Linked DNA regions of Lonchura striata. Each later gene encodes a partner of the first gene's protein in a complex. Links are inferred from orthologs where the notes say so. Each region holds a gene or a part of one and is shown in the gene's direction. Other genes may lie near its edges. The genes, in order: TXNL4A, LSM5, PRPF4 and LSM7.

Region 1 (7,095 bases):
GGAGAACACCCTGAAAGAAGCAATGATGTTCCTTTAAAAGTTATCACTTAAATTCACATGAGTAGGTCAGAAAACAAATGGAACTCAATAGTGTTTTTAATCCACAGTCACTTGGTACTAGCGTGGTATGTCAGACAACTTCCAAGTACTTTTACCAAGAGCTGATTTAGACTATAACACCAAGGAATACCCACACTCTTACATCCAAATCCAGTACTACAAACTGTTCTTCTCAGAGTTTCATGTTACTCCTGAATCAATATTGATTTCATACAAAACTAGTAGCTTTTCTGGTAGCTTACTCACCAATGCCTTTCTATAAGCAGTGCTATGAAACAGGCTGCTAGAAATTTACTCAAAGTTTCTTGCCTGTTGGCTGTGGTTGGTGAAGCCACAGGCAATGTAGGGTGGCACTGAGGCCCAGATAGGTCTGACAAATATCGGCCAAAGATGGTTTACATCTAACAAATTTGCACAATGAAGGGCCACTCTTGGATAGCTGTTAGGCTGCTTGCCTTCAGTGCTTTAAACATTCCAATCTCTACCTGAACTTACCTCATGCAAAATTTAACACACCTATGTGCTGAACCAGTGAGGAAGAGCACTAGAGGAGATACCACTGATAACACAGTCCTTCATGCTAGAACTTTCCTCTGCCCTGAGAGTTTTGAGCCCAGTCCTCTCTACAACACTCCTGCAAATGCACTCTGCAATAAGATAGGGGCTCCACACACAACCAAACATCTAATTGGAGCTCCTATTGGCAAAAGTGGTAGTTGAAGATTTCCTGCATATCTTAATAATAGCTGTGCCTAATTTCCTACAATTATTTTTGCTGTGCTCCACTGACTTTTGATCTCCATCCCATTCTATCTCCTAGACTTGTGTCCAGGAAATCTGATGTTTTGCTACTTGAATCAGAACAATTTTCCACAGCAGTATGCTACTTTATTCTGGGCACACAGTGCTGGTCAGCTGTGTCCTATTGCTTCACTCCTCTCACAAAAGCCTTCTGTGAGTAATCAGAACTCAAACCTGTGACAAAAAAGTGTAAGTGTAGGTTGGAAGGTTTTGTCAACCATTGCCCTGAGCAAACTCATACTTATCCCAACCACATCGATTAAATGGTTACAAGCTCAGCACCAGTACTGCTGTTTTATCCTGGCCTTGATGTGCTTTTCTGCTTCAGTTTCAGTCTGCTTTGTACATGGGCTTGAAGGGGCAGGTCTGCAGTTCACCACAATATCTCTGATAATAGTATCTGGTTTTCAACTACAGCAAACAAAGCAAGGAGGTGAACAGTGCAACCAAATTGCAAAGATCATGTTTTTATATACATCTAATATTTTTTTTACCAGCTGAAGTTGTCAGCCACATGTAGTTGTCAAAATTGCAAATTTCCCCAGATGCAGTCTGCATTTCTTAAGAGTATCATACAACATTACTAGAATAAACTAGATTTGTATTGCAGAATGAATTATGCATAGAATAAAAGAGGAGTTGATGTCATATTGTGATGGCATTGTCCAGCTTCATAAATGATCGGAATCTGGTAATCCTGGAGGGCAGTTAAACCTTCTGCTGTTAAGCAGGGAAAACTGGGCGTCAGACAGGACCAAGTGACTGGTAGATGCCAATGAGGCAGCACTGTATTATTCCATCTGCTTTCATCACCAACCGCTACCCATTGCAATACACCACACATGATGGGCAGAGCCAGACTTGCTTTCACTTTGGAAGCCTTTCCTACACTTCAGAAGCAGAAAGGTGACCCATGAGGAAGCCTCTAGCTATAAACAAACCAGCTGGTGCACTAGAAGCAGGCTAGTGGCATGTTGATGGATCTTTCAATGTGTGTGAGCACGCTGAGCCCACCATTCCAGCTGTTTGATGCATGCATGACCCATTCACTGCCTTCAGCACTGGTTCAACAACAACTGCGTCTTCTGCTTGCCCCAGATACAATCTTAAAAAATTACACTGATAGCAGGAAACAAAAAACACTTAAAGGAACCTCAAAGAAGGAAGGGGGCTCTCCAGATACCAACCTTGGTCCCAATGCTTATTGTTTGTCTTCCATCACTATGTGGGCACATCCTGTAGCTCTATTTGTAAATGACACTTCTGCGACAGCGATGTACACAAGAATAACAACTGGATTAATAAATTCGTACGTCAAATTTGACTGGCCAAACATCAAGGGAATCAGTTTTGAAAGACTTGATGCTTTGCTCCTGAACATAATTATTCAGTTATCAGATGTCTTGTCCAGTGTGCTAAATTTAACAGCTGTCAAGGATATGACATTTTTGGTTTTGGACTAGTACCATCTGCAGTATCACTAAGTTCCTTTTTTTTTCCCTTTTTTTTTTTTTTTTTTTTTTTTTAAGTTGACTCTTCTCCGTTTGTATTTACATAGGACTGTTTACCTACATGCTTCCATGTAGGTAAACAGTCATAATCTCATAATCACATAATCAATGGCAGGACCAGAACTTACTACATTTACCTTATATCAAATGATTTATGTAAGGTAAGTGTAGTAAGTTCTGGTCCTGGCATTGCAGAGAAAACTTTGAAAATATGACTTCGATTAAGACAACGGGGCAAATATATGTAAGTATTAACTTCAGCACTAATTGAAGTTGCCTTATTTCATCTGTGGAGCTTGACGCACTCCTTACTCTCAAATTTGTTGGTTGGCACTGCTGTATCACCTTGGACTTAAATCATAACAAAATAAACCTACATAAATTTTCCTAACTCAGTTTTCAATTAAAGTTAACAGCTTGTGTTATCCGGGATCAATTCCTCCCACTAACTTTTCTGAAGAAGAAGACTTGCTATACCTGAGGGACAACCAAAGCACCCAGCGGGGCTGTTTTTTCTGACGTGCCTTTCACAGCTCGGTCCCGCGGCAGCGGGCAGAGCCAGGAGCTCACGGCCCCGCTCCGGGCCGGGCACAGGCGCTCCTGCCCAGCCCCGCTCGTTTAACCCAGCCCTGCCCGGGCACTGCCGGCGCCGGGGCTGGCGACTCCCAGGGAAGCTCCGGCACGGGGATCACCGCCCCCGCTGCCTCTGCCCGTGGCTACAGCCAGATCGGACTGTCTCTCCTCTCCCTCTCCTTCTCCTGTGCCCGCACGTCCTAAAAAGGCGACAAAGCGAGACTTGGAGGACTTGGATAGTTTTTGGAGAGCTCAGCATTGTTGGGCAAAGCTATTTGTCACCAAATCACATTGCTCACCACAGCCCAAGCTGCACCTTGTGGGGAATTTTTATAGTGAAAACGATACTTTTGTCCCTGCCTGCTGCAAGCTAACCTTTCAAATTAGTGTCTGCTGTGGAATTAAGGAAACAGATTGGTCTGGGATGGCCTATGCCAATGGCCAGCTCGATTGTAGAAACCAGTGCTGGAATGTGCTGGTTTTGCTGCTGACCACTTCCACTGGAACGTTTGCGCAGTGATCCGGTAGTGGTATTTTGATTACTGGAGCGGCGGGAGACCTCATGGAACCCCACCGCCAGTATCGGAGTGGCTGGCAGTGCAGCTGCCACGGCAGGGCCGACACTGGGGGTATGGAAATTGTCATGCTGTGGGTGAATACACTGAGAAAACCTTCCACAGCCAAGAGATGCAATAGCATAGAATCACAGCATGGTTGGGCTGGAACGGACCTTAAAGAGCATCTGGACCCAGCTCCTCTGCTATGGGCACGGACACCTTTCGCTACACCAGGCTGCTCGTCCAACCTGGCCTTGGACTCTTCCAGGAATAGGGCATCCACAGCTTCTCTGAGCATATCTCCTTGGTCAAATCCCATGGAGGCACAGGAGAATGTACTAACAATCAGAGGTCAGCAGCACAGCGTAGGAGATCGGGGCCCTGATCACCTCTGTTTAATCCTCTCCGTGCTAGCCGGCATCACCAATCCCCACGGCACGGCTCCACCTCCCACCTGCGCGTGGGGACGCGGCGGGACGCGGGTGTCCCTGACGGGGTCTCCTCCCGTGGGGAGCGCGCCCGGAAGCGTGTGTGCGTGTGCGTGTGTGCGCGTGTGTGCGCGTGTGCGTGTGTGTGTGTGTGCGCGTGTGTGCGTGTGCGCGTGTCTGTGCGCGTGCGCATGTGTGTGTGTGTCTGTGTGTGTGTGTGTGTGTGTGTGCCTCCGCGCGAGTGCGCGCGCAGCCCCGTGCCCGCCCTTCCGCTTCCCGCCCGTGCCGGCGCTGCCGCCGCTCCGTCTCTGAGGGAAGGGCGCCCGCGGGGTGCGCTGGGGACGGGCTGCGATGGGCACGGGCCGCGGCGGGATAGACGGGCCGCGGCGGGACGGGCGGGCCGCGTGGGGTGGGCGGCACTCGGTGCTGGCGCTCGGCGCCCGCCGGCGCCCCGGGAGGGCCCGGGCTGTCGGCTCCATGTGTATCCCTGCCGTCCCGCAGGCTCCCAGCCGGCCGCCAGGATGTCGTACATGCTGCCGCACTTGCACAATGGGTGGCAGGTCGACCAGGCCATCCTGTCGGAGGAGGACCGGGTCGTGGTCATCCGCTTCGGGCACGACTGGGACCCCACGTGCATGAAGATGGATGAGGTCCTGTACAGCATCGCCGAGAAGGTAAACGGGAGCTTTCTGCTCCTGAGCTCAGTGTTCCCTATGGCTTGCTTGGAGACTGGGGCAGCTTATAACTGGGATTCCGCACAGGTATTCCAGCTTTAGGTGGCAGCGGGAAAGCTGTGTGGTTACACTTTCATGAGTGTCTCCTAAAGACTGCCCTGATGTTTGCAGTGTTCTGGGGGGTGAAAAGAGCATCGTAGATGTTCGGAAATGGAGATTGCTGCCTGTTAATAACCCGTCACTGAGCTGCCATCGGCATTCAGGCAGAAACAGTGCTACTGCGGCTCCAAGTAACCCAGCAGTCTCACTTTACAGTGGAAATGTGTGATACCTTCAGGTTTCTATCTGAGTGACTTGAAAATTTACTTTCATTTTGGCTCTTAAAAGCGGTGAGGTGCTAAAATGTGCAGGATGGTGTTGATTAATCTGTCATTCATATAATTCTGATTAATCTGTCAGTGATGTTATCCATGGACACCAGTAGCATTCCACTGAGTTACATGGACTGAATTAATTTTTTAGAGCTGAACTCCACAGCTGTTTTCAGATGGAAACTGAATGATTATAAACATCTGGTCACTTAAGAAAGATAGATAGATAGATAGATAGGAAAAATTAGAATACACAATCAGCTATAATTTACCTTTTTATATATTTGCTAAAGGATTTGCGAAGCAGTAGATGTAGAATATTGACAGGTCTTTAACTGAACCACATGAAGAAAGAAGTAAAAAAATCTGAATTAGAAACATAACTTGGGTAGGAAAAAGTGCCAGCTATCATAGAATGGTTTGAGTTAGAGGGGACCTTAAAGATCTCATTCCAGCTCTTCTGCTGTGTCTTACACTAGACCAAGTTGCTCAGGGCCCCATCCAGCCTGGCCTTGAACACTGCTAGGAATGGGGCATCCACAACTTCACTGCTTTCATAGAAAATTCTGTGCATGCTGCATAGATTGACATGGAGTTGTTTTTGTGGTTTATTTTGCCTTTGAACTTTTTTAAAATAACTTGAAAGTCCCCACAATTAAAAATCTACACCCACAGCCAGGGGTTAAGATGTATTAGAATGCCGTAAAGAGTTGTGACATGTTTTAATACAGTTGTTTTGTATTCAGCCTGGTGGGAGTGTTATGCTCAGATACTGTTAGTATGGACTTACAGTACTAACTTACTGTTAGTATGGTGGGATGCTTGGCAATTTGGCAGACCTGCTGGCAGCTAGGGGTGACTGGGGGAAGAAAGAACAGAGTAACTTCTTATTTAAAAATCTCCCTCTGCAGAAATGGCAGATTAAAGGGGGAGATCCTACCTCATCTTCTTGCTTACAAGCCATGTTTGGATCTCTGCTGTTTTAAAGAGTGAGTAAAAGTTCCAATTGTACAGGTGTTTATTCTAGAGAATAATACAGAATGTTAACGTGCTATAATTGCAGGCTAAATTTGAAAACAATGTGGCTGTATTTTACACTTGTTACCCTGGTGCAATATTCTTTTAGGCTGCAGCATGTTTTTGGGTAGCAGTAATATTTATCTGTACTTTATGATAGGAGAACAAGGTTTTCTTTTCAGTTTTCACAGGAAAAGAAACTAGAATGCTATGTTAAAGTACAAAGTAGATTGTTTTCCCTGAAATGTACTCCACTTGGAGCTGACTGGGTTTTTCCCCTAGAGTTACATGAAAAAGAAGCAAGGTTTCACTGAATGTCAAAACAAATCATAATTGTAAGATGTTAGAATTTTTTTTTTTTGCTTTGTCAGGGTTTCAATCAAACATTGATTGAAACACGAATTGAGTTCACAAATTTTGCCTTAAACACCTTTTCTAAAAATACACTTTTATATTTTCTTTACAGGGAACTCATAAAAACCTATCCCTTAAAATACAAAGATTGGTTTGCTAGATTAAAACACCTTGTTTAAGAAAGGATTTATCTATTACTGAATATAAATCAGGTAACTGTTGTATTGGATCAGTGTGGGTTTAGGGAGGATTTTTAAAATGTGTATTTATTTAACCATTATCAGAAGTGTGAATAGCTGTGGCTTGTTCTCAAACATTAGTTGTGCCTCTGCATTTCTGGTAAGGTTACATGAAAAGTGAAAGAGGAGAAGAAGGTGGGGTGGAGAAAGAGGCAGTTATGAAAGAAACATATAGGTATTTTAGCTACGGTTGTTTGTAATGAAAAGCTGAGCAAAGTTAATCCATTTACTGATGTCTGTAGTTTTCAAAATTATTAGCTGTCAGCACTGCTCTTGGCAGTACAATGTCTTTCTGTGTTCCCCTAGAAGTTTATACCTAGAGTTACAGCACAATTAGCAAGGAAAAAAAAATCAAATAAATATTGTCAGTACAGACTTTTGGGTTTGTACTTGCTCTGTTCAGTTCAGTAATGCAAGTCTGCCAGCCACCTTCAATTCAGTCATTTGTTGCAAATGCTAGTCTCAGTTTCTGTATTTTCTTCCTATGAATTATTTGTCCATAAAGTAGTG
Region 2 (7,452 bases), on another chromosome or scaffold:
TTTGAATCAACCAGATGTGGACACCTAGATGGTGGTACAAGATGGGCAGAAGAAACAGGTGCATTTGAACAGGTATTTCCTTTCCTCATGATAAACACTACTTCCTTTTATTGTGGATTTGGAGCAACAAAGGTTCTTTTTTCACCATTCTGCAGACTAGGCAGTGGATCTGAGGAGGGCAAATCCTTCTGTCTCAAGTTCCTCATTGAACTTGTAAAAATAATTCCAAGGTAATACTTGAGTCGGGCTATAGAACAAGACTCTCAACTCATCACAACTTCCAGACTCCAGGACAGCACAGAAACCGTTCTACCCACCTTGTGAAACCTAATAACCCATAGTCTTGTTCTTGTTTATGCTTTCAGCGCAGCTAGGCCTGCATGGCTGGGATCATAGATTAAGTCACTGGGAAGTGAAAGTGAAGGCACAGGGTAGCCAGGGAAGAGCGATAGGGAGAAGGGAAGTGGAGCAGTTTGCTTCCCAGCACTTTGCCATGCCTATGGGAATGTGGAGTATCTTTGAGTCCATGGTGATTGATGATTGTTCAAAACTCTTGCACAATGTCTAGTTCTAGTCTTGAGGTGTAGTTGTAGAGGTTGAAACAATCTAAATGACAGAAGACAGTACTGGACAACCTGTCTGAGTGTGGTGCTGCGCTCCAGGGATGCCTTAAAGCAGAGCAGGTGGCTGCTCCTTAATTCCAGCTCCTCAAAAGAAACCATTGATTTGGAAAGTTTATTTTTATTTATGTTTCCCTTCCAATTTGGCTGATTGGCTGTCAGGATTTTTCCTTCATATCTTCATTTCCAAAAACTGCTTTCAGGAAACACCCAGTCATTGGTTTCTAACATTAATACTGCATGACAGCAAGTGAATGCAAAGAGTGATCTGCTATTTTTGCTGCCAACACTGAGAAACTTTCAAGGACAGAAGAAACTGTTGCTAGATGGCTTAATGAAACAAGGTCTGTGAGATAACACAGTGTGACAGCAAACTCCTGAAGCTGGGTACTCTGAGCATATCTTTACACTTTCTAGACCAATAAATAATACTTCCTGTGCTCTACCAGGTACTCTGAGTAAAGACAGGATTCCATAGTTTTTATGTAGCTCTGACTTTGAGTTCCACATACGTTCCTTTGCCCCTTCCCCTCAGAATAAGTGTATATATTGAAGCTGGCTTGGGTGTTTCAAAACTACAATGCCCTTGCCATAGTTTTGCCTGCCCTGTGGCTGGGCTGCAAGACTTCTGCTGTGAGATTATTGCACTGCATTTGGGACCCAAATGGAAGATGATGTTTTTCCATGTCAGTAGCCTAAAGAGAAAGACTTCAGTGTCATTCCAGAAAGTGGAGAAAGACAGCAAACAGATCACTCTGGCAGTTTTGCGTAGAGTGGCTGGGCAGATAGGGAACACAGTGTAGAGGCTGCAAGGCCAGATCTTTCCCAAACCCAGGCAGAAGTAAAGGAGTAACTGAGCAGCACTGGAAACCACAAAGAGGGAAAATGCTGTGGCCATTTGCACAGGTAAGGTGTGGAGCTGAAGGGACAGGACAACAGAAGTTAATTAGCTGAATTGGTAGAACTACAGAAGTTCAGTCAACAGAAGATTTCCCCAGATGGCACATGCAGGCATTTAAGAAGGCAGAGATTCCCTCAAAGGTCAGCATTGCAGGAGTCGGAATTACTTCATGAGGGATAGTTTCCTACCAGTGGCTATGGGGCAAGAATCTGCTGCTTGTGTGGAAAGGATATTTGTTTTCTCAGCTGGAGAGCTCTCCAAATGGCAGCAGCTGAGACAAATGCAGACACCTTCAGGAGAGTAGCAGGGCAGTAGCAGTCCTCTGAAACTTATATTCTCCTCAGGTGGCCCAAGTTTTCTAGGCAAGAGAGCAAAGATTGCAGTGCACCTTGGAGGAGCAAGGAACATAAAGAACAGCAAGGAGCAACTTGATGCTGTCAGAAAATTCTGTTACAGACCTGGGTACCTGTGCTTTTAATTAAAAGAATTAAAAGAAAATTAAATTAAATTAAATGAGAGGCAGCTGCTGGGCACAAAGGCTTTATGCAACATCAAGGTGAGAGGCTCCAGGGTCACAAATTGGTATTTTGATCCATCTCTGTTCCATTGATGCTGGTCAATGGAAGGGGCCAAGTTTCAGCTGTCAGAGGTAGCTGAGGATGAGGATGTTGCACTCTATGCAACACTGTCAATTGCATGCACGAAGACAGGAATATACAGAAATCCAGAGTCTTAGTGTCCAAATGAGATGCAGAGAACAAGGACTTAGGTTCATGGAGCACTAGGAAGCCTTCTGAGACAAGAGGAGTCTGAACAAGAGGAAAAAGCTGCACTTTGATCTTAAGAGAGGAAGGCTTTTGGGCCTAAAAATTCAAAAGCTCCCAGAGGAATATTTAAAGTAGAAGCTGGGGGAAAGCAAACAGGCATAGAAGAGCATGTAGTGTAGACTGATGTGATGTTAAAAAGTGGATACATCTAGGGTTCAATGCCTCTTGGGAAAAAACAGAAAGAAAATTAAAATAAAAATTGCAATAAGCAAGTCAGACCATTAATGCCAGTTAATTTTCACATGCAAAATTAAATGTTGGTGTCAGGGCAAACCTGGCACATCCTTGAATGGAGCCTGGAGAACGAAATTAGGGATGCTGAAATGGTTACCTTCAAAGAACAGTAATAATGGCCATCACAAGAACTGGGATATGGACGATCAATAGTATTCAGTGTTACTTTGCTGATAGTTTCATGGCGAGGAAGGAGTCAGTGCCCTCCTTCCCCTCTGCAAAGCTCTGGCCAATGCCCTCCTACCTCCCAGCACCAGCAGAATACTCCCCATGTCCACTGAGTGCTCTTCTGCTCCTGTGAGAGTACTGCCTGGGCCTTCACGGCCCATTCCCACTGGCACAACTCCTGTGATGCCATCTGGTGCCTGTGCCCAGCAGGACAGGAGCAGGTGGATAAGAGGTGAGTGCCAGTGACTCCAGTGTCCACAGTTTCAGTGAGCACCTCCTTCTCTGAATAGGGTTGGGGGCTTCCTGTGATGCAGAGTGATAGCCAGTGGCCCCCATGTGCAGCATTCCCCATGCCCAGGAGGCCCAGAGGGCTGTCTCTGCCCCCTGTGGCTACTGTGCACAGATGAAGCCAGCTGGGAATGGTGGTGGGATGAAGTTACTGAATGGCTTCAAAAACCTCCCACATGGCCACCTCTAGTGAGTCAACGGACAAATGTGGGGGGTGAAAATCTGCACATAAAACAGAGGGGCCAGCAACAGCAGGCAGTGACTGTTCCCCTGTGCTCAGCACTGGTGAGGCCACACCTCAAATCCTGTGCTCAGCTGTGGGCCTGTTACCAAAAGTCAGTGAAAATAAAAACTCCTTAACACTAATGTAGCATTAAGAAGCCAGCATTCTTTATTCATCTGGATGCATGACGGGATAGGTCCTCCGAAATCTTATTCATGCTGTATTTTACATACATATTGATAGGATTTCCTAGAAGAACCATATATATGAGGATCATTTCCCTGAAGTCATTAACATACGTTCCCTCCCCTCTCTCCATGTGCTCTGTCCTGGGGGTCTCTTTGGTAATCCCTGGTGGTCAGGGACACCAAAGTCACAGCTGATGGCTTATTGAACTGGTAAAAGTTGGCACAACTGGGCTGGCTGCTTTCCAATTCTTCTTCCTACAGAATAAGCATTGTGCAGTTCCATAGGTCAATGGTTTTTGAAGAATAAGCGTTGTATTAACCCACCCATTGTGCAAACAATTCTTCATCTGGCAATAGGCCCTTCTCTGCAAGAAGGATATTGAGGTGCTGGAGTGAATCCAGAGGAGGGCAACTGGAGCTCGAGTTCCCCGAGGAGCTGCTGAGGGAGCTGTGTTGTTCAGTGTCAAGAAAAAGAAACCTGGGGGACTCAACACTCTCTACACGTGCCCAAAAACAGGTTGTACACAGAGGCAGGCAGGGGTTGGTGTCCTTCTCCCAGGTAGCAAGTGACAGGACGAGAGGACAGCCTCAAGCTGTGCTGGGGAGGTTTAGGTTGGACATTAGAAAGAATCACAGAGAAGTTGCCCAAGGGGATGGTAAAGTCAGTGTCCCTGGAGTTGTATAAGGAAAGACTGGATGTGGCACTGAGTGCTATGTTTTGGCTGACGTGGTGGGATTCGTGGGAGATCTTTTCCAACCTGCCCGCTCCGTGGTGCCGCAGCAGCTGAGCCATTCCGGCGCACAGCAGACAGCCCGCGGTCCTGGCGCGGGGGCACATCGAAATGGCGGCAGCCCCGCCGGCGCCGCTAGCCTGGGCCGGCAGCACGGGAACGAAGAGGGAAAAGAGGGAGCCCCGCTCGAGTCTCGTCCGTACGCGGAGGCAGCGCAGCCCGCGGCTCCCGGGCCCCGCCTGCACCGGGGGCGGTGCGGCCGCCGGCCCGGCCCCGTCGCTGTGGGCGGAGGCGGCGGCCATTGGCCAGGGCCGGCTCCGAGATGGCGGCGAGCGCGGTGTCCAACCCGTCCCAGCTCCTGCCGCTCGGTAACCACGGGGGATTCCCGGCCCCCGGTCGGGGCCCGGCCCGTGGTCCTTGTGCGGGGGCCGCGGTGGCTGCGGCCCCTCTGGGGAGCCGAGCTGCGCTGGCGCCGGGCGGGGAGCGGGAGCGCCGGGCGGCGGGGCCCGCGCACGGCCCGGGAGGATGGGAGTGGGGGATAGGTGTGGGGGTGTTGGGGTCGGGGGGCTGAGGTGAGGTGTGGGGCTGTGGGACTGTCTGAGGGAGGCCAGTGGGAGTGGGGATGGGTGTAAGGATCGGGGGGGTGGGTGGTTTGTGTGGGAGAGTAGAGGGGGAGTGTGTAAGGTTGTGTGGAATGTGTCTGTGTTTGTGTAAATAAGCAGAAAAAAACCCGTAAGGCACGAAACACTTGCTTTGTAGAACCTATGCTTTTCTGTGTATCTACAGAACTTGTGGACAAGTGCATCGGTTCACGCATTCACATCGTGATGAAAAGCGACAAAGAAATAGTTGGGACACTTCTAGGATTTGATGACTTTGTCAGTATCCTTTGATGGATGTTTAAGTCTGTCTGATTCATGCTCTGGTCTAAGTGATTTATAGCTCTTCAGAGTTTTTAGTTCACTGACTAGAACCTTTTTATATGGATTGGTTGTATTCTGGTATTTTCAACTTTCAGGTAAAATTGCATTTGGCCTAAGATGAAAATAGCATTAATTAGTCTAGTTTTAAAATCTGGGCGTTATTTTCCTTGAAACTGGATTTTCAGATATGGTGCTAGAAGATGTTACAGAATTGTAAGTACGTTTTCTGCCTATTGTTGCTATTTAATGTTTGGTTCACTGAAACAAAACACTATGTAAGGTCTGCTAGAAAAATGTTTCTACATTTATGGAATAATTACCAGCTAACTAGTTTAACATTGGACTTAAAACTATAGAAGGTGATCTGTTCAGGACAGCCATGTCATAGAGTAGCTATTGCGTGGTTTATACTTGTATGGGGATCCTATTTGTAGTCCTAATTATGCATGGGTTGTGTGAGAAACTTTCCAGTACTTAATTTGGTTTTACACTTCTTTAAGACCTAGGCAAATATTCAGCGAGGTAGCTAACTTAAATGTTTTTACTTTATCATATCATGTTGATATGTATATTCAAAAAATTGTCAGCCTGTAGAGGGTGAATACACATCTCCATGTACTGAGTAGAAGAGACCTTTTCAGTTAGCTTTCTGTACCTAGGTGCTCCATTTATCAAGATCATGCTGCAGTGTAGCTGATTTATTTGTTAGTTCCAACCATGGTCACCTTAATGCAGAGATTTCTGTCAGTTCTATGGTCGAATCTGGAGCCATTGTCCCTGGTTCTGTGTTCTTACTTACTCTTTCTAATGCTCCTTCAGTGAGATCACACCTGAGGGCAGAAGAATCACAAAGCTGGACCAGATTCTGCTCAATGGAAATAACATAACTATGGTGAGTCATCAGAGGCTGCGTGTGTTGACTTTCTGTGCCTGTTAATCGACTGGTGATGGTATTCAACTCCTTTAAGCTGAGCTTTCCTGGTAGTTCCGTTACATCAGGAAGTTTAAGTAGCTTATCTGCATAGCTGGCCACAAAGCCTGGACTTCCAATTTTTTTTTGTGGTTAGAGGAGGGCTAAAGTGGAAATATTTGAGTCTAAGTTGGCTCTGTATGAATGAGGAGTTGTCTCCATTGTGTTGTTTTACCCATCTTGCACTTCTCCATTGTGTGTCAGAGCAGGTGCCATCCTGTGTTAATTTCTAAGCCTTTTATCTGCTTTGATGATTGTTCTGCATGTTGAAAGGATAACATATGTTCTGACTCCCTGTATGGTGTGAAATTCCTACCATCCAGTTACACTGGGGTACACTGTGTTGCCCTTGAAAAAGAACCTGCTGAATTTTCAGCAAGACATAGATACATGTCTGCATCAGATCTCATGTCTCTTCTGGGGACATATTTTCCCCATGGAGGAAGTCCATGCTTTAGACTTACTCTTATTTTGATCCCAAAACCAGTGAAGCTCTTTCTCTTTAGAAGTTCTCAGCTGATAATGAAAAAGATATCAGTAAAAGTAGTGGTTAATATTTTTTTTCCCTTCTGTATTTTTTTTTTTTTCTGTTCTTCAGTTCTTTGTTTCCTTTGCAAGGATGTGCTATGCTGATTTAGTCCCTGTTGCATTTTTGGTTTGTGCATCTCGGGAAATAATTGACTTCCTCTGTAGGGAGGGGAGAGTCAAAAAGCCACTTTTGTGGTCTAGCATGAAATCTTCATGTCCTCAAATGTTTGTTGCAAAGTAAGAGCTGTCATGTATGGGTTTGTAAAACTTAACTCTATGGCACTAATGCAAAAATGTCTTACTCTTTTGTAGCTGGTTCCTGGAGGAGAAGGACCTGAAGTATGAAGACATGATATTCAGATGTACTTTATATATATGCAAAATCTAAATAGAGATTTTGGGGTAGAAATGTGTTTGGCTATGGATTGTTTGTTTGCTTTACTTACATGCTTGACATTTTACAAAAGACAGCTCTTTAGGAAAGGTGCTAGTGGTAATGTTGACTTTGTAAGTTGAAATCATTACTTTCTTGTAAAGACCCCTGAACCTCTTCTGAATAAAAGGCTTTTTCTTTGTTGGTTACTGTGTTCTGTCAGGTGAGTGCACTAGTTTGATAATTTTATAACTACTTGATGGAGTAGAAAAATGACAGTTGTGTTTCGGTTGCCATCAGTCTTCATTTTTTCTACATCTGTTGTGTTTGTTTCTGACCTAAAATATAAAAGTCTATATAATACAGAAGTCATGAGCCAGGACATTACTGTGCTTTGGCATACAGGCAGATACTGAACTGGATGTTTTGTTCAAAGTCTGTGTCACTGGAAACCATGTGGCAGAATTCTGTAGAGTTC
Region 3 (7,883 bases), on another chromosome or scaffold:
GCCCATGCTGGAGGTGCAGGTTCTCAGTGCAGTGGGGACAGTGAAGAACTCTGCTGTGAGCTCTGCCCAGTGCCCAGGCAGGACAGGCTGTGAGGGGGCAGAACCGCCCTCCTGCCTGTCTGGTGCCAGGCCAGGCTTGGGGAGCAGCTCTGGTTTAGCACCTGGATGTTAAAAAGGTTGTGCAGAGCTGGAGGTGGTTGTGCAAAGCTGGAGTCTTCCCTCTATCCACATTGCCCAGTTTGTGCCTGTAACTGGCTGGAAGAGAAGACAGTGGGAATTTGGGAAAGGCACTGAGAACAGGCACCACTTCCAGACTGGGACTGGTGGCTGGGACATGCCATGACAACAGGGAATCCTGCCCGGGCTAAAGCCTCTGGGCACACACAGGAAGGTGGTTTTTTTCCCCTGAATATGCTGCTGGTAACTTCTGGCAGCAGCTGTGTGAGGAAAGCTGATCTTTGGAATGAGATTTTTTAGGCCCTGAGCCTTAGGGAGTGAAACCATCCCTGTGTACCTGGGTGCTCCACGGTGCTGGTGCTGCTGTCCCTGCACAGAGCCCACTCTCCCACCCTGTGTAAGGAAATTCAGAACTGCTGCTACCAGGGCTTGAATTGCACCTCCTGGGCTGATGCCAGGTGTTTACTTGGACATCTTGTTTTCTCTGGGCAGTGCAACTAGAGAATAAAAGGAGCTGAGTTAAACACAGGCTTAGGTTCCTATATAGCTGCTTTCTGTAGCAAATTCATATCTGGATGAGAGAGGCAAAGTTATTTTCATGGAAAAGTTCTAGCCGTGTCCTGCTGAGAGACAGGAAAAGTGCTTCCTTCCTTCCCCAGTCTGATCTTTGAAGGGAGTTCTGTCTGTGACAGAACCTGCTGGTGCCCTTTCTGCACCTGTCACAAAGGTAAAACTCTGCTGTGCCTGCAGGCAATCATGGGAGGGGACAGCTGACCCTCCCCACCCCTGGAGAGCTGGGAGGATGTTAGTGTGGGCAGAGAAAATGAACAATCCCTTCCCACTCCTGCTGGAACTGAGAGGAAATCTGTCTGTCAGAGAGAACTAGAGCTGTTAAAAGCTGGAGATGGTGTTGATGTGGGAGGTTGGCACTGCAGGGCTTGACCCCTGCAGGAGCTCAGGGTGACACTGCCACTGCTGCCATTGGTTTTTCTGGAAGGGGGTGGAATTGTTGCCATCACAATCACAGGCTGGAGTGAGGAGCGGCTCTGTGGTGACACTGGTCACCTCATATACCTCTTGCTGTGTCTTTCTTTGGAACAGAAGCTGCTTGGCCTGATCTTGCTGTCACCTTTTAGCCACTTTTCTGTGTATCCAAGTGGCCAGACTTGAATTCTCTGGGGATGACTTGGAGATCAGGCTGTGGCTCATGCAGTGTCACTCTGGTTCTTGTTAAGCTTTTCTGTCTCATTCTGCTTGTACCACTTGTGCCCCTGGAATTGTTTCCCCCCAGAATGAGCTTCCCTTCTGCTCAGAGAGGGCACACAGCTTCTCCAGCGTGCACAGGGAGGGGACACTGCCCTGGCAGGGCTCACCTGGGCACGAGTCTCAGGTGCCCCAGCAGCTCCCACAGCCTGCACGAGGGGTGGTGAGGGCACCCTGGGCTCCCAGGGAAGGTGAGAGGGGAAGTGGCTGAGAGGAGCAGGCGAGGCCGTGTCCCCTGTGCTCCGAGCTCCTGGGGCACCGCTGGGGACGAGGCGTGTCCAGGCTGCTCCTCCTGCCGCGGCTGTGCAGTTCAGATTGTCCCCAGTTCAGTGTGACAGTCCAGAGCAGCCATCGACCGTCCCTGTCGCAGCGTCCCGCTGCCACCAGATGCCAGCACGGTGTGCTCCCAGCCGGGCTGTGCGTGCAGAGCCGGAGCAAAGCCTGAGCTCCCTGCGGGCGGGATCGGCAGCTCTGGGCAGCCCCAGCCCCGCTGCTGAATTTAGAGGTGTCCGGGTCGCACGGTGGGGGAGGGCTCGCAGGGCCGGTGTGGACAGACATGGACAGACATGCAGCATGCTGGGCTGTGCTGCCCTGCTCGGGGTGACATCCTGTGCCTGGCTCTGTGCCCCGTTTGCTCTGCACACGCTGAGCCTCCACATTCTCATCCACGAGGGAGCTCGGAGCATCCAGGCCCTGTCCCTCCGAGGGCTTTTGTTGCTTTTCTTTGAGTGCCTTTTGAGTTTGTCTGGAGCCAGTCCCACCACCCAGCAGGATTTCTAGTTTTGTTTACAGTGGACTGTCAGTTCTGTTTTTACTCTTGCTTTTTGTGGTGGTAACTTGTCTGATGTTACTGTGAATATCAAGAATCTCCTGTACATAATTAACCAATAAAATAGATGGCATTTTACTGTGCTGGGGGTGTGTTTTGGGAACGGTCTCAGGGCAGCCCTTGGAGGGAGCACAGGGCCCAGTGTTCCTGTTCAGGTGCTGTGGGGAGTGAGGAGCAGCATCCTCTGAGCCTCCCCAGCTCCCAGGAACTTGTCCTGAAGCTGCTGGAATGGGGTTCACTGAGAAGTCTTTGTTCCAGCTCAGTCGCACTTTGCAGGTGTGGGGAGGGATGGAAAGAGAAACTGGTGCCTCCCAGATCTGCCTGCCCTGGAGAAGAGTTTCAGGGAGATGTAAGAACCTCCTGAGGTGTTGTCCTCTCACAGCTGGGGCCTCTTGGGAATGCCAGCACAGCAGAGCAAGCCCTGATCATTGTTTGTGGTGTTAGACAGGAAAAGCAGCTCTTTTCTAGGCTGCTCTGGGGCTCTTCCCAGTTGGAAAAGTTTGAAGTTCTGTACATTTTCCCAGCCTGACCTGAAATTTGACGCACCTACAACACGGGAAGCGTGAATTTAACTGGAGTCCACTTTGGAGGAATGCTGAAAAACCAGACCTGGTCATTTTGCTGAAGATGGCAGGACACAGCCCTGGGCAGAGGCAGGGAGAGCCTCCAGCTCCTGCATTCCCTGCTGTGGCAGCCTGCCCTGCTCCTTCCCCAGGCTGCAGAGAGCAGTTTCCTGAGCACCAAGGAGCTGCTCAGGTTTTTATGTTGCTTCCTTCAGCTCACCCCACTGTGTGACTCCTGTCAAGTGTCCTCCACTGTCAGACTCCTCCTGAGTCTGACACCTTCCTCTCACTAAATCAGATCTGACCTCACCCTGCCCAGGCCCCTGCTGAGGAAATCCATGTGCCCTTGGCCTTTTCACAGAACACCACCAGCCATAAGGAACTGTTTGGTGGCCTTTGATCCAAGCAGCAAACAGCTCTGAGCTCCATTCCAAGGGCAGCTGGGGTGGCACCAAGCAGAGCTGGATGGAGGTGGAACAGGGAGGTGCAAAGGAAAAGCTGCTCAAACAGAAAATCTGGGCTATCATCCCACATCCATGTGCCCAGCCCACGGCAGGTCTGCAGCCACTCCCTGCTGAGGGCCCAGCTGTGACATGGATGGGGAAGCAGCTCTGGGATGCATTTGGGACCAGCTGATTGAACAGACCGGGAATTCTTTCCTGGTTCCCTCGAGAATGGACAGAGCAGTGCCTGGCACCCACAACTGTGGCACCTTTATCCCAAAACACTCATCAGACACCTCCAGGACCTTCTCCTCAGTGGGCCACCAGCGGGCAGGGCTGGAGGCTGAGGTGGCCACACTCCATTGTCTGGTTTAGATCAGCAGATCACTTTCCCGGAGGATCCTCCCGCAGAGTTTCATCCTCCTGCCCACAGGAGCAGGGAACGGGGTGCTCGAGCTGTTCCACCCCACCTGGGCACTGCAGCCCTTTACAGCAGCTCGTGGGATGATTATTCGTTTCTTTAAAAAAATACGTGTTTATTTAAAACAAAACACTCGGCAAGGGAGCGATCACGGCCATGTTAACCAAACATAAAATGCGAAAATGCAACAGCTCAGAGGGGGGCGGCGCGGCCCAGCGGGGCCGGGGCTGCCCCGTCAGAACTCGAAGGTGCCGAAGTGCGCGGCGCGGCCGCCGGCCTTGGGCTGCGGCTTGTACCCGATGCGCTCGTTGATGAGCTGCTCGCGGCTCTTGTGCTCCGTGCCCAGCGCTCCGATCGCCGCCGCCTCCTCGCCGCCCGCCGCCGCCTCCGCCTCGTCCCGCTGCTTCCTGCGGCTCTGCGGGCGAACGGCCGGTCAGGGCCGGGGGCGGGCCCAGCCCCCCGCGCCCGGCCCCGCGCGCACCTCCAGCTCCTTCCGCACGCTCTCGAACTCCTCGATGTCGTCCAGCTTCAGCTCCAGCCGCGTCGGCTTCCGACGGAGCATCGCGGCCAGAGGCGCCGCCACCCGCGGCGGCACCGAGCGCTCCGCCCTCAGCGGGCCGCCCGCCACAGCTCCCGGCGTGCCCCGCGCGGCCCGCCCTCAGCGGACACTTCATCTCCCGGCGTGCCCCGCGCGGCCCGCCCTCAGCGGGCACCGCCTCTCCCGGCGTGCCCCGCGCGGCCCGCCCTCAGCGGGCACCTCATCTCCCGGCGTGCCCCGCGCGGCCCGCCCTCAGCGGACACTTCATCTCCCGGCGTGCCCCGCGCGGCCCGCCCTCAGCGGGCACCGCCTCTCCCGGCGTGCCCCGCGCGGCCCGCCCTCAGCGGGCACCTCATCTCCCGGCGTGCCCCGCGCGGCCCGCCCTCAGCGGGCACCGCCTCTCCCGGCGTGCCCCGCGCGGCCCGCCCTCAGCGGGCACCGCGCCTCCCGGCGTGCCCCGCGCGGCCCGCCCTCAGCGGGCCGCCCGCCACAGCTCCCGGCGTGCCCCGCGCGGCCCGCCCTCAGCGGGCACCGCGCCTCCCGGCGTGCCCCGCGCGGCCCGCCCTCAGCGGGCCGCCCGCCACAGCTCCCGGCGTGCCCCGCGCGGCCCGCCCTCAGCGGGCGCCGCGCCTCCCGGCGTGCCCCGCGCGGCCCGCCCTCAGCGGGCGCCGCGCCTCCCGGCGTGCCCCGCGCGGCCCGGAAGTGGCCGTGAGGCGCTGGAGCCCGGCGCGGCGGGTCTCTCCCCGTTCCCTTCTCTGGTTCCCGCTCCCCTTCCGGGCTCTTTTCCGTTCCTGGGCTTGTTCCCGCTCCCGCCATGGCCGCCGCGCGGGCTCCGGCGGCGCGCGGTGCGGCCCGGCCCCCCGAGGTGAGTGTGCGGAGATGGGGGCGGCCCCGGGCCTGTTCCCCGCGCGGCCGCGGCGCCGGCGGTCGCGCCTGCTGCTGCTGTGTGGGATTTGCGGTGCTCCGGTGACACCGGAGCCGTTCAGGGGAGCCCAGGGCTCGGTGCTCTGCGTTCTCACCCGGTCCTGGCGCCTCCCCTGAGGAGCCGCTCGCTTTGGGCTGGGGCGCGGCACCGCTCCGGGCTGTGCCGGTGCAGGAGGACGAACAGCTCCGTGTTCCAAAGCTTTTCAAAACATACCTCTGCAGATAATAAATAAGAGGCACCCAACGCTGCCTGATGGCAGCATTTCAACGCGGCATTTTGCTCTTGTGCTTCGGCCTTCGGGCAAAAACCTCAAAGTCCGGCGGCTGCTCCGGCCCTGGCGGTGCCCAGGCCAGGCTGGACGGGGCTGGAGCAGCCTGGGGCCGTGAAGGTGTCCCTGGCACGGCAGGGTGGGATGGATGGGCTTCAGTTGCCTCCATCCCCAGCCGGCGTGGCACCGAGAGGCTGTATGTGTGCACAGTGCCCGTTCTCCTGGCACAGCCGGCTCTGGCACAGCCAGGCTGTTAGCTGCCCCCTGTCCCAACCCCTGCTCCTCTGGCTCTCCCTGCAGCCCCCCAAGGCCAAGCCCCCCGAGGAGGCCGAGGCTGCCCCGGCCAAGCGGGCGCCCATCTTCTACGGGAGCCTGGAGGAGAAGGAGCGGGAGCGCCTGGCCAAGGGCGAGGCGGGGCTGCTGGCCAAGGAGGCCATGAAGGCTGCCATGGAGGCTGGCAACATCAACATCAGCAGCGGTGAGGCTCTGCAGACACCCCTCGTCATCCCTGCCCGCAGAGGTGGCACTTGAAATGCCTCTGCTGGCTCTCTGGGCATCGCCTCACAGCAGTCAGGGTGGGAGGCTCCGTGCTTGGATCTCTCCAGGGGCTGAGGGAGGGGTGCAGCGTCCTTCTCTGGGGACATGCCACACCCTGCTGTGTCACCTGCTGCGGGTGGCCCCGCTGCGGGTGATGTGCAGAGCTCCCCGGCTGGCCCTGGCCGTGCTGCTGCGTGTGCTCAGGCTGTGTGTGTGTGCCAGGGGAGGTGTTTGACCTGGAGGACCACATGAGCGAGCGGCAGGCCGAGGTGCTGGCGGAGTTCGAGCGCCGCAAGCGCGCCCGGCAGATCAACGTGTCCACGGACGACTGCGAGGTCAAGGCCTGCCTGCGGGCCCTGGGCGAGCCCATCACGCTCTTCGGAGAGGGCCCCGCGGAGCGCAGGGAGAGGTGCTGTGTCTGCAGGGATGGCCACCCTGCAAATCCCTGAGCCCCTCCTGCCGTGCCACTGCTGTGCCACAGGGCAGCTGGCAGAGCTGGGGGTGTTCAGGCTGGGGAAGGGAAGGCTCCAGAGCCTGCCAGGGCATCAAGGGGCTCCAGGAGAGCTGGAGAGGGATTGGGGACAAGGGATGGAGGGACAGGACACAGGGAATGGCTCCCACTGCCAGAGGGCAGGGATGGATGGGATGTTGGGAATTGGGAATTGTTCCCTGGCAGGGTGGGCAGGCCCTGGCACAGGGTGCCCAGAGAAGCTGTGGCTGCCCCTGGATCCCTGGCAGTGCCCAAGGCCAGGTTGGATGGGGCTGAGAGCAGCCTGGGACAGTGGGAGGTGTCCCTGCCATGGCACTGGATGAGCTTTAAGGTCCCTCCCAGCCCAAACCAGTCTGGGATTTCTCTTGTAAGAACCCTAAGGCAGAAGGAATGTCACAGTGATGTTTGTCAGGTGAGCTGAGAATCCACTGGCTAAATCCAGCTTCATGACTCCTTCCAGGTTAAGGAACATCCTCTCAGTGGTCGGCACAGACGCGTTAAAAAAGACCCGGAAAGATGATGACAGGTCCAAAAAGTCCAAAGAAGAGGTAAGGGTGTCTCCTGTCCCCTGACAGAAGGGAGGGATGTTATATCCATCTCTGATATATCCTGCACTCCTGGCTTTGGCCAGCCTGGGAATTCTCATGGTATCCCTTCAGGCTTTTTCCATGTTGCCCATTACACCAAATCCATGGCAATGGTTGGTCTCAGTGAGGAGCACCAAGTGTGGGTTTTACTCAGACTCTGCTCTGTGCTGCATTCACTGTGCAAACCAGGAGAGCAGTGTGTGGGCTCTTACCTACTGTAGCAAGTCCCTTACTTTCCTTCACACTTGGGAAGAAAAAAAAAATGTTCCTTCTGCTGCATCTGTTTCTGCCTTTGATTGCTCTTTCTGCTTGTGTCTCCTGAGTCTCTTTTACCTTATTATTTTTGAGCTTTACTGTAAGAAATAATTTCTGCAGCTCTGGGCTTTCTCTTTAGTGGGTGATGTGTAAACAAGGAGGGAGTTACATGTCTGTAAATGCAGATGGGTCAGGGTTCAGCTGGAACATTGAGAGAAGTGGCAGCATGGCAGGATTGGATCTGTAGGGCAGAGAGTTTGATTTATCTCTCCAAATCCCTTTTCCTGGGGCTCAGTTGTGTAGAAGGCCCTTAAAAAGAGGCCAGAGCACAGCAGGGTTTGGGGGCAGGTGCTGGGAGGAGCTGAAGGGAATGAATGCAGGGGCAGCAGCACCAGGGCTTTTCCATTCCTTTTATTCCTGTTTTTACAGTATCAGCAAACGTGGTACCACGAGGGCCCTCGCAGTCTGAAAACAGCCAGGCTGTGGCTGGCCAACTACTCACTCCCCAGGTGAGAGAAAACAGAAAACATTTGTCAAATCCAAGTGCAAATCCCACTGTGGGCAGCACGGGAAATCCAGGGAGTAGG
Region 4 (7,939 bases), on another chromosome or scaffold:
TTCCTTTCCATTCTTCCTTCTCTCTTTTGTCCAGCACTCAAGCAAAATTGAAGTAATTGACTGAAGATATGTTTAAATGGTCTATTGCTCTGCTTTAGCCTTCCCCAAGAAAATCACTTAGTGCTTACCAGAACTGATTAAACTTTGTTCTGTAGAGAAATATAACATCATATCCCTAACCATTGCTGCTACTAATTAGAACATTGTGGCAGACTAATTTGTCAATATCTGGTTTAATATTCGTAACGTGAACACACCAATGATTTGATAATTATGCAGTTACGCTCTCACAAATACACTTTATACATCTGTTTCTTCATATACCAGCTGAGGAACAAGATGCTAAAGATGACTGGACTCGGCAACAATGTCTTATCTTAACCTGCTCGTTCAAAAATCCATTAAAAGAATTCATCACACTTATTTATCCTTCTTTATTTCAAACCGTACTACACAGAAGTTACCATGCACCCCTAGGAGACACTCAGGGTAAAAGATGTTTTTAGAAAAACTTCTGAGAATCACAGACTGGTTTAGGTTGGAAGGGACCCTTAAAGGTCACCTTGTCCAAACCCCTGGCAATGGGCTGGGAAATCTTCAAGTATACCAAACCCTGTTCAACCTGGCCTTGAACATTTTCAGGGATGGGGCACCCACCTCCTCGCTGGACACAGTGAGTTGTGTGTTCTACCAGTGTTTTACCCTGTGTCAGTGTTTTACCACTTGCATTGTAAAATCACTCTTTTAACACACACAGTATGCCCAGAGGCAATGATGGCATTCTGCTGCAAGATGTCAGCAATGCAGTAAAGAAATATTATTGTAAAAATATACAGGAGGTAGAGATTTAATATAAGAGAATTTTTATATTTAGCTCTTCTGCATATAAATGGTCTTTGTTAACATATGCAGCAACTTTTTCCCTCTTTTATAACACTAGTATTAACTAAGTCCTTTAGAACCAATGACATTTGTCCTGAACATGCTGATATAGGAGGTCACTGATTAGTTCAGTGCAGATTAAAGCCACTTGAGCACAGGGCAAATTTCCAAGATATCTGTGGAGACAGAGAGACACTACTGTGCATACACTGTGAGGAAACAAGAACTCCAACTCCGTGCTATAGCAGACTTGTTAAGTCATATCTCAGGTATCCAACCATAGCACCTAAACTACTTTCAACAGAAACAAGTAATTTAGAAAAGTAACCTGTACTTATTATCTTGAATTTGATTTTGAAGAGTAACAAGCAACAGAGATGCAAATACAGTCACACACGAAAGACAAGAACAAAAGAATGTTCAATTATACACAATTTTGCTTTCTGAGCTATTTAATGGACATTCTTCAAAGAAATATTAAGGGAGTAAAAGGTTCCTAGTGTTAAGTGCTCAACACATTTTAGAAGCTATTTGGATTTGTGTGCCAAAAGCTAAATGAAAGTCAAGCATGAGAGGAATTAAAGGAAATATGAGCAGGGCTAAAAGCAAAAGGGGGAACACAGAATTTAAGAAACTCTGTGGAGAACACAGTCTGTGGATAATGTGGATTAACAGGCATTTTTATAAAGCTATTATCACTTAGAAGCAAAGCATAGTTCTGAAGTTTGTTCTTATCCACTTTGATGCATCCAGTTTTGTTTTTATTAATGTCAGTAGGTATGAGACAACAAAAGTTCAAGCAGTGCTGCTGTTGCACTGGCATAGTGGCAACATTTATGATTCCTTATTTCTAGAGACCACTTCATATCCTAGATTAACCCAGGAGAAAATGCCATCTCCTGTGCAGATCCTATATAATGTGCCTACAACCCCAAAAGGCTCTTTTCCAAGTGCTTGGATACCAAGTGCAGTCTTTTTCAAACACAGAAAAACAACAGCTGCTGTGAAAATAAGGTATATTATAATACTTGCATCTTGATCCCATGGCTTAAAAAGCACACAATAGTGTATAATTAACACAAAAGGAAGTGTTTTCTATAAAGCTGCAAAACTGGAAAAGGTTTTCACACAACAGAAATGTAAAATCTGAGGGCAGAATTTAACAGACAAACGAGCTAATCTAATGTTTGTGGTAATAGAAGGGCATACTTGTTAGCTCTAAATCTCATCAGGGCCTTCCACAGATCAATGCATAAAAGAGAAGAATGCTCCCCAGTTTTTCTGCTGTGCAATTTTTTTTAGGTGAATTAATGTATTTCAGAGGCAAGCACTGGACTTGCAAGCTGAATGATAGAAGAAGGCGGAGAGAAAGAATTCAGCTCACCAGTATTTCAAGAAACTTCAGCATGAGTGACTGAGCCAACTCAGTATCTGTCTTGTTTGTTCCTCCCTGCCTCTGGCCCCACACTCACGTGGATGTCCTTTTCTGCTTTCAGTAGCTCTATTAACTGACCTGGCCACTCATATCTCAGACATTGGGAGCTGTGTTCCTTGAAGAAGGAATGAATGAGCTATCCTACTCTTACGGTAGGTACCATGCCAGAGTTCCCAGGAGCTGGAGTCATTCTGTCCCATTAACTGCACTGACCCATCTGGAGAAAAGCAACAGCAGACAGCAAAGCTGCACACAAATAAACACTCCTTCAACAAACACTGTACAGTGCAGAGAGCTACATATTCATAATGCACTAATACCAGAAGACTAAATTATCAGCTACCACCTTAATGCAGAATTTCAGACAGACTTTCAAATTCTTTGGACCCATATCAGAGTGCCCTAATTTAAAATACAAACCCATCACCACAATTCAACATATTCTTCTGAAAGCTGCTATAGTGAAGGCCAGCTAGATCCAACACATTTGCTGCAGATCATATTACTATGTTCATCACTAGTCAAAGGCTCACATATCTGCTGTTGTTACAGGAAACTGAGGGGTAACAATGCCTGGAATGAATGGGAACTTAAATGAAATGTGAGAACTCGAATACCAAAGCAAGATCTAAGTGCAGACTGTCCTTGGATCTATAAGAACACACCATTCTTAAAGTGTTCCCAGATGAGGACCCAGATTTGGAAGAGTCATGCCTCAGTAACCAAGCTGATCCTTCTCCCAAAATAAGAAGATAGACGCATATGTGGACACTACCTCCTCTTGCCCCAGGGAAAACAAATAAACAAAACATTCCTAATATCCTGTTTCAAGGAGAGAGACAAAGGTATATGCTCACTAAGGCAAGAGTAAGGCACTAAGAATGAGTAAAGCTGGCACACAGCAGCTCCTGACAACAGCTGTCAACTCTGTCCCCCAGAATAACTCCAGCCATCAGTCACAGGGGTACCAAACCAGGACTAGTGCAGCAGAGCACTCTTCTCTGCCTCACACTAAGGAGGATGTACCACTCAAGCCATCCCAACAAGTGCAAGCACAAGAGATGCAGAAGTTATGCACAATACAAGGTAATCAAGCAAATTTTTAAAACACTAGCTTGGCTAACAGAAGCATACTGGCAGTACACAGTAAATCCACTTTTCACTGCAGCAGCAGGACTGTTTCAGCACCCTGGCCAGTCTGCCCAAGCTTATTCAAGTACATTAACACTTACACTGCACAAATATACCAAATGTTTACAGACAGGAATGTGCTGCAATGCATGGAGCTGAACGCAAGACCTCCAAGTACCCACCGGTGGACTATCTCACCGCTGTCTTTCTGCGCTGCCATATGCTCACCTTCCCCAAACTGATGGATCAAACTGACTCCATGCCAGTCTTTGACTCATTTTTGTTAATTCATTAATTAAATTAATCTTGTTAATTAAAGCTTATTAATTTGTCGGGCCTATACGGCCACTACTAATCCCTGCAAAGCATCAGTGGAGATGACAAAAAGCATGGGGCACGCAAGAGCGTAATGAAGAGAATGGATAAAAAAGGGGATGATACAGAAATAAAGAAGTTAGCTGACAACCAGACCACTCTGTAACTAAAGATTACTGGCAAGGAAACAGTAAGGAGACAGAGGGAGAAGAAGGAAAAATTAGAGTTCCATGTTACACCAATAATATTCAAGAAGCCATAGCACACTCCAAATTGTCTAATAAACAGTCAAGAAGTTTAAATGACAGTTAAAAATTTTGAGAACACAAACCAATTAACTTAAAAGGCAAAAGCTATGCACCATGCAATGCAATTGCTAGAAATCCACTCTCTCCTGTATCAGGATTCATGCCTAGTATCATGCCTAGTTCTCACACCCTTAAAAATGTATCCACAAAACGAATTAATATTTTAGTAATGATAATAAAAGACCCAAGACAGACTACAGAGTCACTGTCAGCAGAAATCCCTTCTTTTCTGCTGAAAGCTTCCTCACAGGGAGTCTGTCAGTCAGGATAAAACAAATCGTCCCTGCGAGGATCCGGCCCGGGGGCTCGGCTGCGCTCTCCTGCCTAGGGCTGCCTGGCGAGGATGCTGGGCTTTGCCTGGCCCCGAAGTTTTGGGAACTACGAGGAAAACGCTAGTTAATGCGGAAAGAGTAAAAAAGTTTCAGAGAAGCCCAGACACACAGAATCAATACTGCCAAATCGCCGAGGGCAGGGCCAGCAGACCCATGCGCTCCGCTGCCTTCCTGCGGCCACGGCTCGGGCCCGGCCCGCTGCGGGCGGCTGCAGCACCTCTGCGCGCCCACGGCAGGCGGCTCCGGGCACGGCCACGGCGCACGGCCCGCCCGGGCCCGGCTGCCCCCCGCCCTCAGCCGGCTGCCCGCGCGTGGCTCGGGAGCACACAGCCCGGCACAGCCCGGCACAGCCCGGCACAGCCACTGACCTGCGGCAGCAGATGCAGGAGCAGCCAGAGGCGGAGCCAGGCCGGCTGCGCTGCCATGCCGGGCCTGCCTCGCCGCCGCCGCTTTGTTCCGACCTGGGCCGGGCCGGACCCTTCCGTACCGGGCACCCAGAGCCCGCCCCGGACGTCCCGCCTCAGCGCCCCGAGCCGCCAACGGGCTCCGGCGGGGCGCGACGTCACTTCTGGCGGTGCCGAATGAAATGGCGAGCGGCGGCGGCGGCGGCGGTGCGGGGAAGATGGCGGTGAGGAGCGGGGCGGGGCGGGGCTCGGCGGCGGCGTGTGCGGGGCTCGGCGGCGTGTGCGGGGCTCGACGGCGGCGTGTGCGGGGCTCGACGGCGGCGTGTGCGGGGCTCGGCGTGTGCGGGGCTCGGCGGCGGCGGTGCGGGGCTCGGCGTGTGCGGGGCTCGGCGGCGTGTGCGGGGCTCGGCGGCGTGTGCGGGGCTCGGCGGCGGCGGTGCGGGGCTCGGCGTGTGCGCGGGGCTCGGCGGCGGCGTGTGCGGGGCTCGGCGGCGGCGTGTGCGGGGCTCGGCGGTGCGGTGCTCGGCGGCGGTGCCCGGTGTGTACCCGCGCCCCCGTCCTGCCGCCGCGGAATCCCGCGGCAGCGATCTGGGTCCGTGTTTCCGTGGATGGCGCGTTTTAACTGGGCTGCCTGTGCTCTGCCGTAGGATAAGGAGAAGAAGAAGAAGGAGAGCATCTTGGACCTCTCCAAGTACATCGACAAGACGATCCGGGTGAAGTTCCAGGGCGGGCGGGAAGGTGAGCCCGGCGCGTGGCTGCAGCACGGAGCTCTTTTCGCCTTTCGGCGTTTTCCCTCAGCCGATGCCTGTCGACTCTGCCCTCCTGCTCATGCCGCTTTCCCATCAAGGGAAGCGGAGGAGTAGTGAGTGCTTTTACTTATTAGAATTTGCAGTTACCGGTGCAAAGCTTCTCTCGTTTAACTATTTCACTCATCTTCTGGGTGCACCTTTATCCTTATGGCTCATCTGTGCATCTCTTCTTTTATTGGTTGTTTTGAACAGCCTTATTTTGGCTGGGTTTTTGTTTTTTTTTTTTTTTTGGCATTGCAAGGATGCACTTAAAGGAACAAAGAAACATTTATGGATGTAGTAATTAATACAACTGTCGTGCCTTTCATCTCTTGACATGGTAAGCATGCCTGGAGTTCGTGGTTCAATATATGCCACTGTGCCTTTGCATTCCCATCTCTTCCCAGTTGGGCAGGTACATCCCAATGCAGTTGGTGCTACCCACAGGCACTTGTTGGTCCAAGCTTACCATGTGCTGCATTTTAAAACTCCACTGGGACCTTATGCTTATAAGGGTTTGGAAGTTACTTGAACTCCTTACTGAGAAGTGTATTTGTCAAACTGGGAAGTTGCTCGGTGTAATTTTGTAATATATGTAGTGACTAGTCTTGTGGAATCAAGTTCTCCATTAGGACAAAGTGCTGGTCTATCTGCAGTGCCTTCCTGTGAGGCAGTGCTTATGTTAAAGACATCATGTGCCAGAAGAGCATCTGGAAGATGGGGTTTCTGAGGAAAGAACTTAAAATATGGTCTTGTTTTGTTTTTAACCATAACCTTTCATTAAGGATATTTATTTTGTTTTGTAGTTGCCTTTTTTTTCTTTGTGTGACTTATACTGATTTGTTATATCGTATTCTTAAAATGCCCTTGAAATTGACTGAAAGCAAACATGTTAGTGTCTTGAAGAACATTTGGAAGAATGAATTGAAAAGTCTCTAAGTTTTAATTGGTGCAATGCAGAGCAGTTTTTGTGTACTTGCCATTGAAAAAGAGGACACTGTTTAATACCTCTGGACTCACATGTTTGGTCTTGCCTGAAAGAGGGAACAGGGCTGGAGAACTCAGTGTAACTTTCTTGAAGTCTTATGTTGCTGTATACCTTGTTTTGGTCCTAATCATTGTTTTCTGTGTGGTCTTCAATAGCAAGTGGTGTCTTGAAAGGGTTTGACCCTCTTCTCAACCTTGTGCTGGATGGTACCATTGAGTATATGCGAGGTAAGTAATATGTAATCTTTGGGAAGCTTCCCCTCCCTGAGTGGCTTTCTTGACAGAAATTTTACAGCTCTGTGTGTGAATAAGCAGAAACTGCAGATTAACATCACCCAAACTACAGCATGCTTGGGATAACTGTAGACATACAGGTGAAGGGTCTATGGGACCTGACAACATGTTCCTGAGGGAATTGGCTGTTACAGTGCCCAAGCTAGTCTAAAACATTTAAAAAGTGATGGCAGGCAGGTGATGGGAAAAAGGGAAACATTGAACCCATTTTTCAAAAGGGTAGAAGGGAGCCTGGGAATTACTGTTCTGTCAGCCTGACCTCTTGTGCCTGAGAAGATCATGGAACAGATCCTCCTTGGAGCTCTGCTAAGGTATTTGGAGGACAGGGAAGTGATTTTAGACATCCACCATGGCTTTACCAAGGGAAAATCCTGTCTGAACAACCCAGTGGCCTTCTGTGATGGAGTGACTCCATCAGTGGCCAGGGGAAGGGCTTACAGATGTCTTTTTTTCTGTACTTCTGTAAAGCCTTTAACACAGTCCCCCACTATCCCAGCAGCAGGCCCCTGACCAAGTAATAATTAGCATTGACTCCATGATTCACAGAAGGCTGATCAGTCTCTTTATATATATCATTATTAAGAAACCCATCGCTTTTGTAGACTGTTATGATACACCTAGACCTAATTGGTCCTCCAATCCAAACACCATTGGCTAATTAAGAAATCACCCTTTGGTAAACAAGTCTCCATAACACATTCCACATGTTCACAATAACAGGTGCAGCAAGCCAAGATAAGAATTGTTTCTCATTCTTTTCTCTGATCTTCTCACAGACTTTTCCCAGAAAGGCCTGGGAAAGTTGTCTGTTGTTCTCTGTGGCCAGAGAAACCCCAGAACATCCTTCTCCCTGAATTGAAGGAAATGGATTTGATGGGTGGACTGTTTGGTGAATGTGGAATTGGTTGGATGGTCATATCCAGAGGGTAGTAGTCAATAGCCTAATGTCCTCGTGAACATCAATGACCAGGGGTGTCCCTCAGGGGTCTCTGTGGGGACCAGTACTGTTTAGTGTCCATCAGTGACATAGGCAGTGGGATCAAGTTCATCCTCAGTCTGCAGG

What was found.
Region 2: TXNL4A (region 1) and LSM5 share a complex: the UniProt entries of both Homo sapiens proteins name them as parts of the precatalytic spliceosome. The link is inferred for Lonchura striata from reciprocal best matches to the Homo sapiens genes TXNL4A and LSM5.
Region 3: TXNL4A (region 1) and PRPF4 share a complex: the UniProt entries of both Homo sapiens proteins name them as parts of the precatalytic spliceosome. The link is inferred for Lonchura striata from reciprocal best matches to the Homo sapiens genes TXNL4A and PRPF4.
Region 4: TXNL4A (region 1) and LSM7 share a complex: the UniProt entries of both Homo sapiens proteins name them as parts of the precatalytic spliceosome. The link is inferred for Lonchura striata from reciprocal best matches to the Homo sapiens genes TXNL4A and LSM7.

Annotation. Positions count from the first base shown.
Region 1 is NC_134603.1:84,666,514-84,673,608, forward strand, and holds the start of TXNL4A (thioredoxin-like protein 4A), read left to right. Parts: upstream 1-4,087; 5' UTR 4,088-4,121; coding exon 4,122-4,260; intron 4,261-4,431; coding exon 4,432-4,604; intron 4,605-5,888; exon of another isoform or gene 5,889-5,964; intron 5,965-7,095. UniProt on the Homo sapiens protein: Plays a role in pre-mRNA splicing as component of the U5 snRNP and U4/U6-U5 tri-snRNP complexes that are involved in spliceosome assembly, and as component of the precatalytic spliceosome (spliceosome B complex).
Region 2 is NC_134642.1:57,672,727-57,680,178, forward strand, and holds the start of LSM5 (U6 snRNA-associated Sm-like protein LSm5), read left to right. Parts: upstream 1-4,444; 5' UTR 4,445-4,502; coding exon 4,503-4,548; intron 4,549-4,966; coding exon 4,967-5,062; intron 5,063-5,288; coding exon 5,289-5,316; intron 5,317-5,922; coding exon 5,923-5,995; intron 5,996-6,913; coding exon 6,914-6,946; 3' UTR 6,947-7,452. UniProt on the Homo sapiens protein: Plays a role in pre-mRNA splicing as component of the U4/U6-U5 tri-snRNP complex that is involved in spliceosome assembly, and as component of the precatalytic spliceosome (spliceosome B complex).
Region 3 is NC_134624.1:4,700,069-4,707,951, forward strand, and holds the start of PRPF4 (U4/U6 small nuclear ribonucleoprotein Prp4), read left to right. Parts: upstream 1-4,880; 5' UTR 4,881-5,048; coding exon 5,049-5,099; intron 5,100-5,727; coding exon 5,728-5,905; intron 5,906-6,186; coding exon 6,187-6,373; intron 6,374-6,914; coding exon 6,915-7,002; intron 7,003-7,725; coding exon 7,726-7,805; intron 7,806-7,883. Other genes in the region: anaphase-promoting complex subunit CDC26, read right to left, coding at 3,932-4,111, 4,178-4,258. UniProt on the Homo sapiens protein: Plays a role in pre-mRNA splicing as component of the U4/U6-U5 tri-snRNP complex that is involved in spliceosome assembly, and as component of the precatalytic spliceosome (spliceosome B complex).
Region 4 is NC_134630.1:1,560,398-1,568,336, forward strand, and holds the start of LSM7 (U6 snRNA-associated Sm-like protein LSm7), read left to right. Parts: upstream 1-4,938; 5' UTR 4,939-4,989; coding exon 4,990-5,031; intron 5,032-5,454; coding exon 5,455-5,545; intron 5,546-6,738; coding exon 6,739-6,810; intron 6,811-7,939. Other genes in the region: SPPL2B (signal peptide peptidase-like 2B), read right to left, coding at 4,772-4,828. UniProt on the Homo sapiens protein: Plays a role in pre-mRNA splicing as component of the U4/U6-U5 tri-snRNP complex that is involved in spliceosome assembly, and as component of the precatalytic spliceosome (spliceosome B complex).